3 linked regions of the Nothobranchius furzeri genome follow. The main gene of each other region encodes a partner of the protein of the gene in region 2 in a complex. Links are inferred from orthologs where the notes say so. Each region holds a gene or a part of one and is shown on either strand. Other genes may lie near its edges.

Region 1 (3,684 bases), on a different chromosome or scaffold from region 2:
TTCCATACTTCCAGTCATTTGATCATAAACTTAAAAGTGTAATGCTGTATGTATTTTGCAATTCAAAACAAAGTAAATAGTTATTTAAAACAATAAGTTTCATGCATATTCTGCTAAAACCTGCAATAATTTGGCTAGGCCTGCAAACTTATAAATTGTTTTTAGCGGCTAAACGCGTTTATGTCATCAGCTACGACCTTTTCAGCATCCCCAAATCAACGTAACGTTTGATTAAAAGAATATCGCCTTTGAGGTTTTAGGCTGATATTAACCTAGTGTCTCATTTTCAACTAGCATTAACAGAGAGAAATTGAGGAAATTACCTACCTAGCAATCTGGTTCCTGCGGATATGGTGCAAGAAGCCATGGCTCATATCCAAACGCCCACCTGGTTTGTATTTTAGCTCATGCCCTCCATCATCTCTTAAAATATCCATGTCATTAAATGGTTGTAAAGCAATAAATTACCAATTGGTTAAATCATTATAAGAGGTCCTAATCAGACCTCAGACAAAAGCTAAATAGCACCTAGCTAGCTGTAAATAGTTGTCCAATAAATCACTTCCGGAGTTAACGCTGCAGGAACGATCACATTTAACATCTTAAATTAAAAAGTACAATAACAATTCAAGTATTTGTGTACAAATAAAACAAACACATGTTGTAAATTAACAGTTTCCTGCGCTAAAAAAAAACAAAGTTAAATTTCTGGTAGAATATTTTTCTTAACACCGGAATAGGTTTTGTTTTTTTTGTTCAGCGTACAACCACCGCGAGTTTCGACGTGGTCAGTCACCATTCATCTAAAAAATCTTCTAAATAAGTTAGTTTATTCCTATGTTGTTTTGATACCAGGCTCGCAGGATAACAGATATGATTTCCCTAAAACGAGAGAGGGAAATTGAGCTGGACGACGATGATAACGAAGACGGAGGTAAGTATGTTTATCTCTAACGTCAGTGTAACGTTAGCCGGATGCTAAGAAGCTAACTAAAAGAATTTGATTTTATGCACAACTTTGTACAGTCACTTCCTGAATGGTCATTAGACATCCTCAGTAACTAATGCATAGAATAACACTTTGCTTAATTAAAAAACATTCTGTAACAGCACAGCTATCGTGTTAGCATGTTTAGCCTATTAGCTTGTACATTGTTATGTAGCATTTTAGTTTGTCTTGTTAGTTACAATTATCATATTTTTGCAGTTGTAATCAAAAGGGGCCGAGGACATGCAGTAGAAGACAGAAGAAGTCGCCACTGCCCTTACCTTGACACCATAAACAGGCAAGAAAGAGAAACATATCAGCAACTGATATTAGCATTGCTTGCTAATTAGCACATTTGACAACCATTAACCTGTCTATGCTAATTTCCCAGGAGTGTGCTTGATTTTGATTTTGAAAAGCTCTGCTCCATCTCGCTCTCCCACATTAATGTTTATGCTTGCCTCATCTGTGGGAAATATTTTCAAGGTAGGTAAAGCTATCCAACCTTCAATCCTACATGATTAAACATGCTCGTGCACTTTGATAGCCTGGCAAGCCACACTAAATAAAACTTTGCAAAGCAAGAATTTGGTCTAGTTCACTAGGCTAGTACTTTGACACACTGGTGTTGTTTTTTTCTTGCAGGCAGAGGTCAGAAGTCTCATGCATACACTCACAGTGTCCAGTTTAGCCATCATGTGTTCCTCAACCTGCACACACTCAAGTTTTACTGTCTGCCAGATAACTATGAGATCATTGACTCGTCATTAGAAGACATCACGGTGAGTCATAGTATTGTTTTGTTGATCTTATTATGCCACAAGTGTCTATGGTTACAAAGCCTAAACATTTCCTGTTTAACAGAGACTGCAAACTGGAGAAAAGTTTTAAAAGTTTTAAGCATGTAGATGTAGATTCTCAGTCATCCAGGACATTTCAGTGCTAAGACTCTTGGGATGTTCCAAAAAGGGTACTTCACGATTCGATTCAATTTCGATTATTGGAGCTTCGATGCTTCGATTCTTCGATTATAATGATTTTTGGTTCGATTCGATTACTGGAGCCACGATTCTTCGATTATTGACATTTTTAATGTTTTTTCATACAAGATTGTCTTCTATTTTATCTACATTTGTAAATAAATAACCTATCAATTAATTCAGTTCCTCTACAACTGCTCTCTGTAAGTAAATACATTTTTTTAACATTTAACTATTTTTCAAAGACAAATTCTTATTTTATGACTGTATGACGTGTAAATATTTGCACTTTGACAAACTTAACTTTGGTCAGGGAAAGCTTTACTTACACTAGTGTCTCCTCCATTGTTGGGAAACACTGAAAACAGGCAAGCCCTGGATTTAATGAGGTAATTAATTCAAGTAAACAAGATTTTTACTTCCACTGAATTTATTTAATGGAAACTTAATGAGTCTGGCATATGATAACATTACAAAAAAAGCTGCCATACAGATCAAAAGTGCATTCCTCAAAATAAAATAATTCAGCTTATTCAGTCTGGAATATAGGTAACAGAAAAAAACCTGCTATATTTGAAGGTAATATGTTGCATTTTTTCTGAACAAAAGTGCATAATTCAACTGAACCTGTATTCAGCTTGGAGCTTCAGTACTGTGAGGCGAACACAACAAAATAGAGCAGAGTGACACTCATACTCATCTTAATCTTAGCTGTCTTCCCATACTCCCTCCCCTCCTTCTTGTCCCCTACATCCTCCAGTTGTGTGAGATGGGTAAATGTCAACATTGTGCTACTTTGACCCTCACTCATCTCTCGAGTTTGAAGAACGTGGCTCACCAACTTCCACCCGTTCTTGTCCGGCGCGAGAACAAAATGCGCCGTTACAGTAACGAAGGATTTGGTGGCAACCGATGTCCATGCATCGCATGTGAGCGCTATCCCGGTTGCCTTCTTCATGGACTCCAGCTTTGGTTTCCTCGTAGAGGTGGGGGACTTCCTTTTCTGCGAAGTGTTTTCGGTGAGGAAGTTTCTAGCGCGGCTCCATGGTGCGCACCACTAACTGAAACCCCCTGTTGTTTACTACTGAATATGGGCGTAGATCCGTCGCGATAAAAGTAGCTATTGCTTTTGTAATGCTCCTCGCCTTCTCTGAGCTCTTCGGTAGTTTGGAGACAGTCTCCAGGATGGAGAAAGAGGTCAAAGAGGTAGTGCCACTCACTAAACAGTCCGGGCGGCGCGTGCGTTAAGGCTCCGGTTACGTGTTTTTATTTTTTTTTAGTACCGGCGTTGCAATAAAACTTTGATGTTATGTTTTTTTAAGCATTGACGTTCATTAATCGATGTCGAAACAACATGTTTAGCTGTTAGATGCATCGCCACATCGATTAATTGCACCCCCCCTATAAGATTCTAATGGAAAGTAACTACCTGGAGATGTCTGAAGATGTTTCAAATTTTCATCTGACTCAGATGAGTGTTGGAGATCATTTTAACTAATGTGCTCAAAATTCAGTTGGAGACTAACCTTTTAACTCAAATCAAATTCAAATTTTATTTGTCACATAAATTCATACACAGTACGAAATGCTGTGAAATGCCTTACACAACTGCTCGTGACCTAAGAGTTGAAAATAAAATAACTGTACACCACGGATTAGAATGAAGGGTAAATTTAACTGGGAAAGAGTAAGGTAAAATATATCTGAATTAAAGTT
Region 2 (2,793 bases):
CGTCTCTAAATCTAAGTAAGACTGAAAGATTGATGATTTATTTGTTTATTCGTAATGGTATTTTCAAGTTTTAAAAGTGCTTCAGCATTTAAATAAGTCCTTGAAAACAACTGAAACTGACTTTATGGTGCAGACGTTTCCTTTAATGAGACAGCAAAGTGACGTGATTGTTGTGAACAAGTATAAACGGTCTCTGTGCAACACCGGTGTAACGTGCTGGAAAATATTTAAAAACTCCATCTTAAAGTGCTTGAAAAGGGTTTACATTTTATTATTTACAAAGTGTGTTAGGAAGCCTGCAAAAAATCAAGTACGACACGTAGTATTTGACATTGCATGATGAGTTAGGGTTGGGTTTTTACAAATTTTTCTTTGGAATCTCTTTTTGTGGAAGAATTTGAGTTTGAACGCAGAGTAAAACTCCAAACTAATCATTTTTCAAGCTGTATCCATTTTACAGCAAGTGTGCCAAATATACACATTGTTCTAAATTTGTGAACTTGTTAAGAATCAGAAATACTTCACAGCATCAAATATTAACAGTTTTTTTTGTAAAGTACACAAACAACACGTGCACGTTTTAATTGAAGTGTGGCAAACAAGCTTTACAAATAAAGAGTGCTCCGAGATTTCCTAAAAAATGTATTCATGTTGCAAATTTCTAATTATGTTATCTAGACTGTAAACATAATTTCTGTTTGTTATTGAGCTGTTTGAAAATCTGTTTGTTCTCCATGCATGAATACGAAATACATTTAATACTAGAAGTATTTCTCTAGTTGATCATCCAAAAAGATGATCATCCAAAAAGATATTGCTGGAAAACATAACGTAAATATATTTATTTTAAAAGTACTTGCTGGAGTGAAAAGTAATTATTTCAAATAATTAATTATTTAAAATTTTTATTTTTTGTGTGCGGCTTTCACATTAAAAAATAATAAATAAATAAATTGGGACTTTTTAAAAGAGTTTTTCGAATTGAGCGACTATGACGTAAATTTAACGCGTCTCCTGCGTCGCTGATTTGATGACGTCGTGAAGCGTTTGTTTTCCGTGGGGTTTAAAAGAAGTCACATTGAACATAGCTGCTTTATCTATAGTTAGTCCGTTTTCTTCCCGCCACTTAAATACTCTATTTTATATTTTGGGGTAAGTGTTTCAGAATATTTAGTGGGAAGTTTCATAATTGTGTCTTTCAGATTGTATCCATGGTTAACGCTAACTAGCTAGCTAGCTGTTGCCGGTCAAACCGTTCTCTGGTACTCAGAGATGTTTGTTTAATTTAATGTTCAGCTGTGATCGATTTGAACTCTTTATTTGATCCATTTCAGGTTAGAATTTGCTCATTTTTGAGTCAAGATGTCGTACATGTTACCGCATCTCCACAATGGATGGCAGGTCGACCAAGCCATCCTGTCTGAGGAGGACCGAGTCCTCGTCATCCGCTTCGGACACGACTGGGACCCAACATGTATGAAGATGGACGAGGTTCTTTACAGCATCGCTGAAAAGGTTTGATTTGTTTCCTGTCTTTATTATATAAAGTCCGGTTGGCTCAGATTCAGGAGTCGCGTCACATTACCTGCTGGCGTGCTCCAAATGCCATGTTTAATTCATTCTTGGTTTGTTTATTTACAGGTGAAGAACTTTGCTGTCATTTACCTCGTGGACATCACAGAAGTGCCTGATTTCAATAAGATGTACGAGTTGTACGACCCCTGCACTGTCATGTTCTTTTTCAGGTAGCTCTTCCAGTTCCACATGTTGCAATAGACAGGGCAGCTGAGTAAACATATTTTAAGGTGATATTTTTGTCTTTCTCTTCCAGGAACAAACACATCATGATTGATTTGGGCACCGGTAACAATAACAAGATCAACTGGATAATCGAGGACAAACAGGAGATGATAGATATTGTTGAAACTGTGTATCGAGGAGCAAGGAAAGGAAGAGGTTTGGTGGTGTCTCCCAAGGATTACTCTACAAAATACAGATACTGATTTTTTTTCATCCTCCTTTGTTCAGTTTATTATTTTTTCATTTGACAAAATGAAGAGACAAAAAACACAAAAGGTTCAGGAATATTCTTCAGCGTGTTTACCTTTGGTAGTAAAACAGGACATTGTTGATAATGGTGGGTTTAATGTCACTTTTTGTTTTTGCAAACGTAGCTTCATAAATATTAAGTTTTGTGTTTTTTAAGGCTTATTTCTGTGAAATATGTCAGTGTGGAACACATCGGTAATATTGTACAACTTGTAACTGTTTTAATAAAAAACTTTTACTTAAGATTTAAATGTAGTGTTTTAATTTATTTTATATATATATATATATATATATATATATATATATATATTCTGAACCTGCTTGTCCATGTAGGGTCGCGGGGGGCTGGTGCCTATCTCCAGCTGTCACTGGGCAACCAGGCGGGGTTCACCCTGGACAGAGCCAGTCTATCTAGTACTTCTAAGGCCTATAAAATAAACATGTTTATCATGAGTACAAGCTGTTCCACCACATCATTAAGTATAAGACTGATAGATTTATGAGTGTAAAACTTAAAATCCTGCTTTTCTGTTGTTAATACTCTTAATTCTAGAAGGCTTTTAATGACTGGCTAAAAAATATGGCTATAAGTTTATAAATATAATGAATATATGATCTTATTTAATTATGGTTATGCAAAATAAGATAGTAGACAGGCTTTTTAAAATGTTAAGTATTTTAAATAAAACGAATCTGTGCATAATGTTGGAAATCATACCATTTTAATGACATACCTGGAATCTT
Region 3 (3,760 bases), on a different chromosome or scaffold from region 2:
TCATGGTGAGATTCTGCACACAGTCTGGGCCAAAACCAGTTCATCAGAGACCACCGACAGATGGGACTGGAGAGCAGAGACACTGATGGGACTATACCTGCTTGAACCTGAGGGACCAAGGCAATCAGCATGGATGACTGGTTTGAGACTGGAAGCCTTCCCACACCAGGGTGACCAGTATAAGGAGTAGGGATGGATTCCAGATGTGGTACTTTTTAAGGCACCGACTGAATTATGTGGTACCCACCAGGGATCAATTCTCCTACGACTGGCTTTTTCATATAAGAGGAAACCGTCTTCCCTTGCTGCAGAGTTTTTATGTTTACAGCCGGACCTTGAGTTTTTTGAAGAAAATGTGAATTCAATTCAACTCAAAGCTTTGTTTATAAAGTGCCTTCCGCGACCTTGTCAGGGAGCCCAAGGTGCTGTACACAGTACATAAGAAACATAAATCACAATGAATAAATAGAAAATAAAAGCAATTAAAATAGTGCAAAGGGGGTAAAACATTGAAGTAGAAACAAATAGATAAAACAAGGGAACTCATCTCTATACCAACCATTCTGTCCTGTTTTGCACCATACCAGTTTCCGTTTTTTATTCATTTATTTATTTTAATAAAAGAAGCAGACAAACGCCAAATGTGAGCTTGTCATAAATCTTGTTGCATTTTATCCCACTGTTAGACTGACTTCTTTTCTCTGCTGGGTTTATCTTATCACCTAATTATTAGACTATCTTATGTCCTTGCTTTAATGGGTTAAGGCTGTTTACAAGTTTGAGCACATCTGTCATCATCTGTTTAAATGTGTGTCATCTAATCACAATTTAAATCAACGCTGATTAGGATTTAGACCTATTTTTCACCAGTTTTCATTATTCTAGAAGAAAAACATACCTGCTGCACACAGCTGGGCAAAATAGGGCCATTTACATATATTTCATACGTAGGTAAGGCACACATAGGTTTATCCTATTTACCAGGGCTGCCGACTTCTTTAAAAGTCTCAGAGTGAGATTTTCTTTATTTTAACATATCTCTCTCTCTCTCTCTCTCTCTCTCTCTGTGTGTGTGTGTGTGTGTGTGTGTGTGTGTGTAGGGACGTGGACTATTAGGGTTTGTTACGCAAAGTGATATTAAGGCAGATTTAATTTTTCAGAGGCAAATTAGATGCTGTAATCACACTTAAGTGTGTAAAAAAACACAATGTTGATTAATTATGAGCAAAACATGTCAAAGAAATGGATACGATTCAAGCTGAATATGTTGAAGACCTCTGGCTCCCCCTGGTGGTAGTTGTCTGTATTTGCAGCGCTCCCTGATACGTCATCAAAAGCGGACGCGACTACTGAACAAAGCTACCGCAAAAATGGTGAGCTAACCTCGTTCAATATTCAAAATGTATTTAGCATGACACCAAACACATGACAGTTAAATAAGTCGTTACCTTAGTCTTTGTGTAACTGTTAGTGTTTCCATTCTCTCTTTGTTCATAAACTGTCGTGCTCGACGTGTAGCGTGCAGCTACACGCTAACGTTAGCATGTCGTTGTGCTCCGCAGCTTTTCTACTCGTTTTTCAAGTCTCTGGTTGGGAAGGACGTAGTGGTGGAGCTCAAGAACGATCTGAGGTTAGTGTTTTACGGCTTGGCCTCCACTGCTGTGATAAATCGTTGAAGCTGTTGTTCATTTGCAGGAAAGAACGCTAGCAATTCGACCCACTGTAGCACCACGTTGGAAACAAGTGGTCTCTAAACGCGAAGCTTTGAATGAACTTCTGCTAAAGCTTGAGCTATTTCTTTGTATATTCCAATGGACTTGTAGCTTATTAGTACTGCGACGTTTCTACACGAGTCTGACTCGGAAATTAAGGCAACCGAGCTAAACGAGCCATGTAGCCTATTCAAAAGTGTCCAAATGTTTGTTTTCTTGAATATTTATCCACACATCTGTTTTCAGCATCTGCGGAACGCTTCATTCTGTTGACCAGGTATTGAAAATACACTTTTTGAAACTCTTTCAGACAAACTTCTGCAGTTTTTTGACATTTACATTCCTACTCTTTTTGGTTTTTAGTACCTGAACATAAAGTTGACAGACATCAGTGTGACGGATCCAGAGAAATATCCACACATGGTAAGTAGCATACTTGAGACACATCGGTCCTAAGGTCACGTTGCTTCAGATGTCTGTAGAAATCTGAGGCTAATCTCACTACGAGTGTTTTCCACATTCACAGCAGGGTTAACAAACACAAACTCAGCCCTCTAATTGGTAAAAAGGTGTGATTATTCACTTAAACCAAAGATGCGACAGATTTTTGTTTTGTTTTCAGGTCGAGTACTAAAGCCTTACCTCTAGTCCTCAGAAAATAAAAATACAACTTAATAGGGCTGGATGAAAACTTATTTGTCAGTGTCCTTTTGCAGAATTCCAATTTTACAATATTATACCTCCATATTTTTTCTTCTGTAAATATTTGCAAGTTAACTCCCTTCAAGCTGTCTACAGAAAGTGTAATCATAAATTCATCAGCAGATTAAATGCACAATTTAATCAGATTCTTGTCAAACATCAACCTAAGTGCCATTCTCTATCAGTTTGAGCTGTAGAAACACTTGTACAGCTGTATGCTAACACACATGTAGGTTTAGATATTTATGCCGCTGGTTTGACCCGTCTCTCAGCACCAGCAGGATAAATAAATCTCCGTCAGCAGCCACGGTGAAAAGTAGCGATGTAAGACAATATCGATATGGCAATATATCGTGATGTTTTTTCCTGCAATATTATATTGATATCCAAAAGCCATGTGTTGAACTTTTTGGAATAGTTTACATGCAAACATTTGTGTATTTTCTTTTCTTTTGGTGCAATTCAAACACTGACCGCTAGCTAGCAGCAGTGTGCATTGGGTTTTGTTTCCACCACTGAAATATAAATCCCTCTATTATGGTTCAGATACCTCATGTTTAACATGTTAAGTATCAGTTTGGACTGTTTATTGAAATTTTCTACAATAAATTCAGTCTAAAAAATCGCTGATATCGTCTGGCTGAATGTATCGCAATATATCGTGATATATCGTATCGTCTTCCCTGTATCGTGATACGTATCGTATCGCCACAATTTCACCAATACACATCCGTAGTGAAAAGGCTCACTAAAACACGAACAAATGTCCCCAAATAATTAAAAACCACTAATCCAAATGCAAAGTTTAGGGCAGAAAATTGACCTAGAGGTTTCCTGATCGAGCAGACACGTGAGAATACATGTAATGATCGCATAGAGACAGAACAAGCTAGTGGATAGCAATAGCTGCACCTGCTAATGCTAGAAATTCACTGTTTTTATATTTATATTGATGTAAAGATATTGAGTCATCAGGTTTCTTGTTTGAAATTATATCCACATTTAAAAAATCTCAGCCCTACAACTGAAAGTAAATGGGTTTTTAACTAGAAATTTATTTCAACCATACTTACTCACAACTTGGCTTGCTCATGGGTATCTCCTTAAAAATGTATCAAATCTTGACAAACTAGTTTTATTTTTACCTGAAGTCATAAAAACTCAAGGAAAAGTGATTTTTAAATAGTCTAGATTAACTCACAAACCTGTGGATTTGTAGCCCACAAACGGTTGTGTTTTATTAACACTCTCTGCAGCAAAGATGCTTTTAGTTAATACGTTTACTCGGACGTTCCGAGGACTCACCTTTACCACAAGGGTTAGACTGAATGAGCTTTCCACCGAAC

Evidence for each region. Proteins that work in one complex are often made in the same cells at the same time.
Region 1: txnl4a (region 2) and usp39 share a complex: the UniProt entries of both Homo sapiens proteins name them as parts of the U4/U6-U5 tri-snRNP complex. The link is inferred for Nothobranchius furzeri from reciprocal best matches to the Homo sapiens genes TXNL4A and USP39.
Region 3: txnl4a (region 2) and smx5 share a complex: the UniProt entries of both Homo sapiens proteins name them as parts of the precatalytic spliceosome. The link is inferred for Nothobranchius furzeri from reciprocal best matches to the Homo sapiens genes TXNL4A and LSM2.

What each region holds. Positions count from the first base shown.
Region 1 is NC_091757.1:46,437,089-46,440,772, reverse strand, and holds the start of usp39 (ubiquitin carboxyl-terminal hydrolase 39), read left to right. Parts: upstream 1-744; 5' UTR 745-873; coding exon 874-934; intron 935-1,207; coding exon 1,208-1,286; intron 1,287-1,379; coding exon 1,380-1,474; intron 1,475-1,633; coding exon 1,634-1,770; intron 1,771-3,684. Other genes in the region: c17h2orf68 (UPF0561 protein C2orf68 homolog), read right to left, coding at 328-437.
Region 2 is NC_091751.1:22,095,191-22,097,983, forward strand, and holds txnl4a (thioredoxin-like protein 4A), read left to right. Parts: upstream 1-1,007; 5' UTR 1,008-1,152; intron 1,153-1,334; 5' UTR 1,335-1,362; coding exon 1,363-1,515; intron 1,516-1,641; coding exon 1,642-1,745; intron 1,746-1,831; coding exon 1,832-2,003; 3' UTR 2,004-2,292; downstream 2,293-2,793. UniProt on the Homo sapiens protein: Plays a role in pre-mRNA splicing as component of the U5 snRNP and U4/U6-U5 tri-snRNP complexes that are involved in spliceosome assembly, and as component of the precatalytic spliceosome (spliceosome B complex).
Region 3 is NC_091756.1:60,995,479-60,999,238, forward strand, and holds the start of smx5 (smx5), read left to right. Parts: upstream 1-1,293; 5' UTR 1,294-1,370; coding exon 1,371-1,373; intron 1,374-1,562; coding exon 1,563-1,630; intron 1,631-1,958; coding exon 1,959-1,989; intron 1,990-2,075; coding exon 2,076-2,135; intron 2,136-3,760. UniProt on the Homo sapiens protein: Plays a role in pre-mRNA splicing as component of the U4/U6-U5 tri-snRNP complex that is involved in spliceosome assembly, and as component of the precatalytic spliceosome (spliceosome B complex).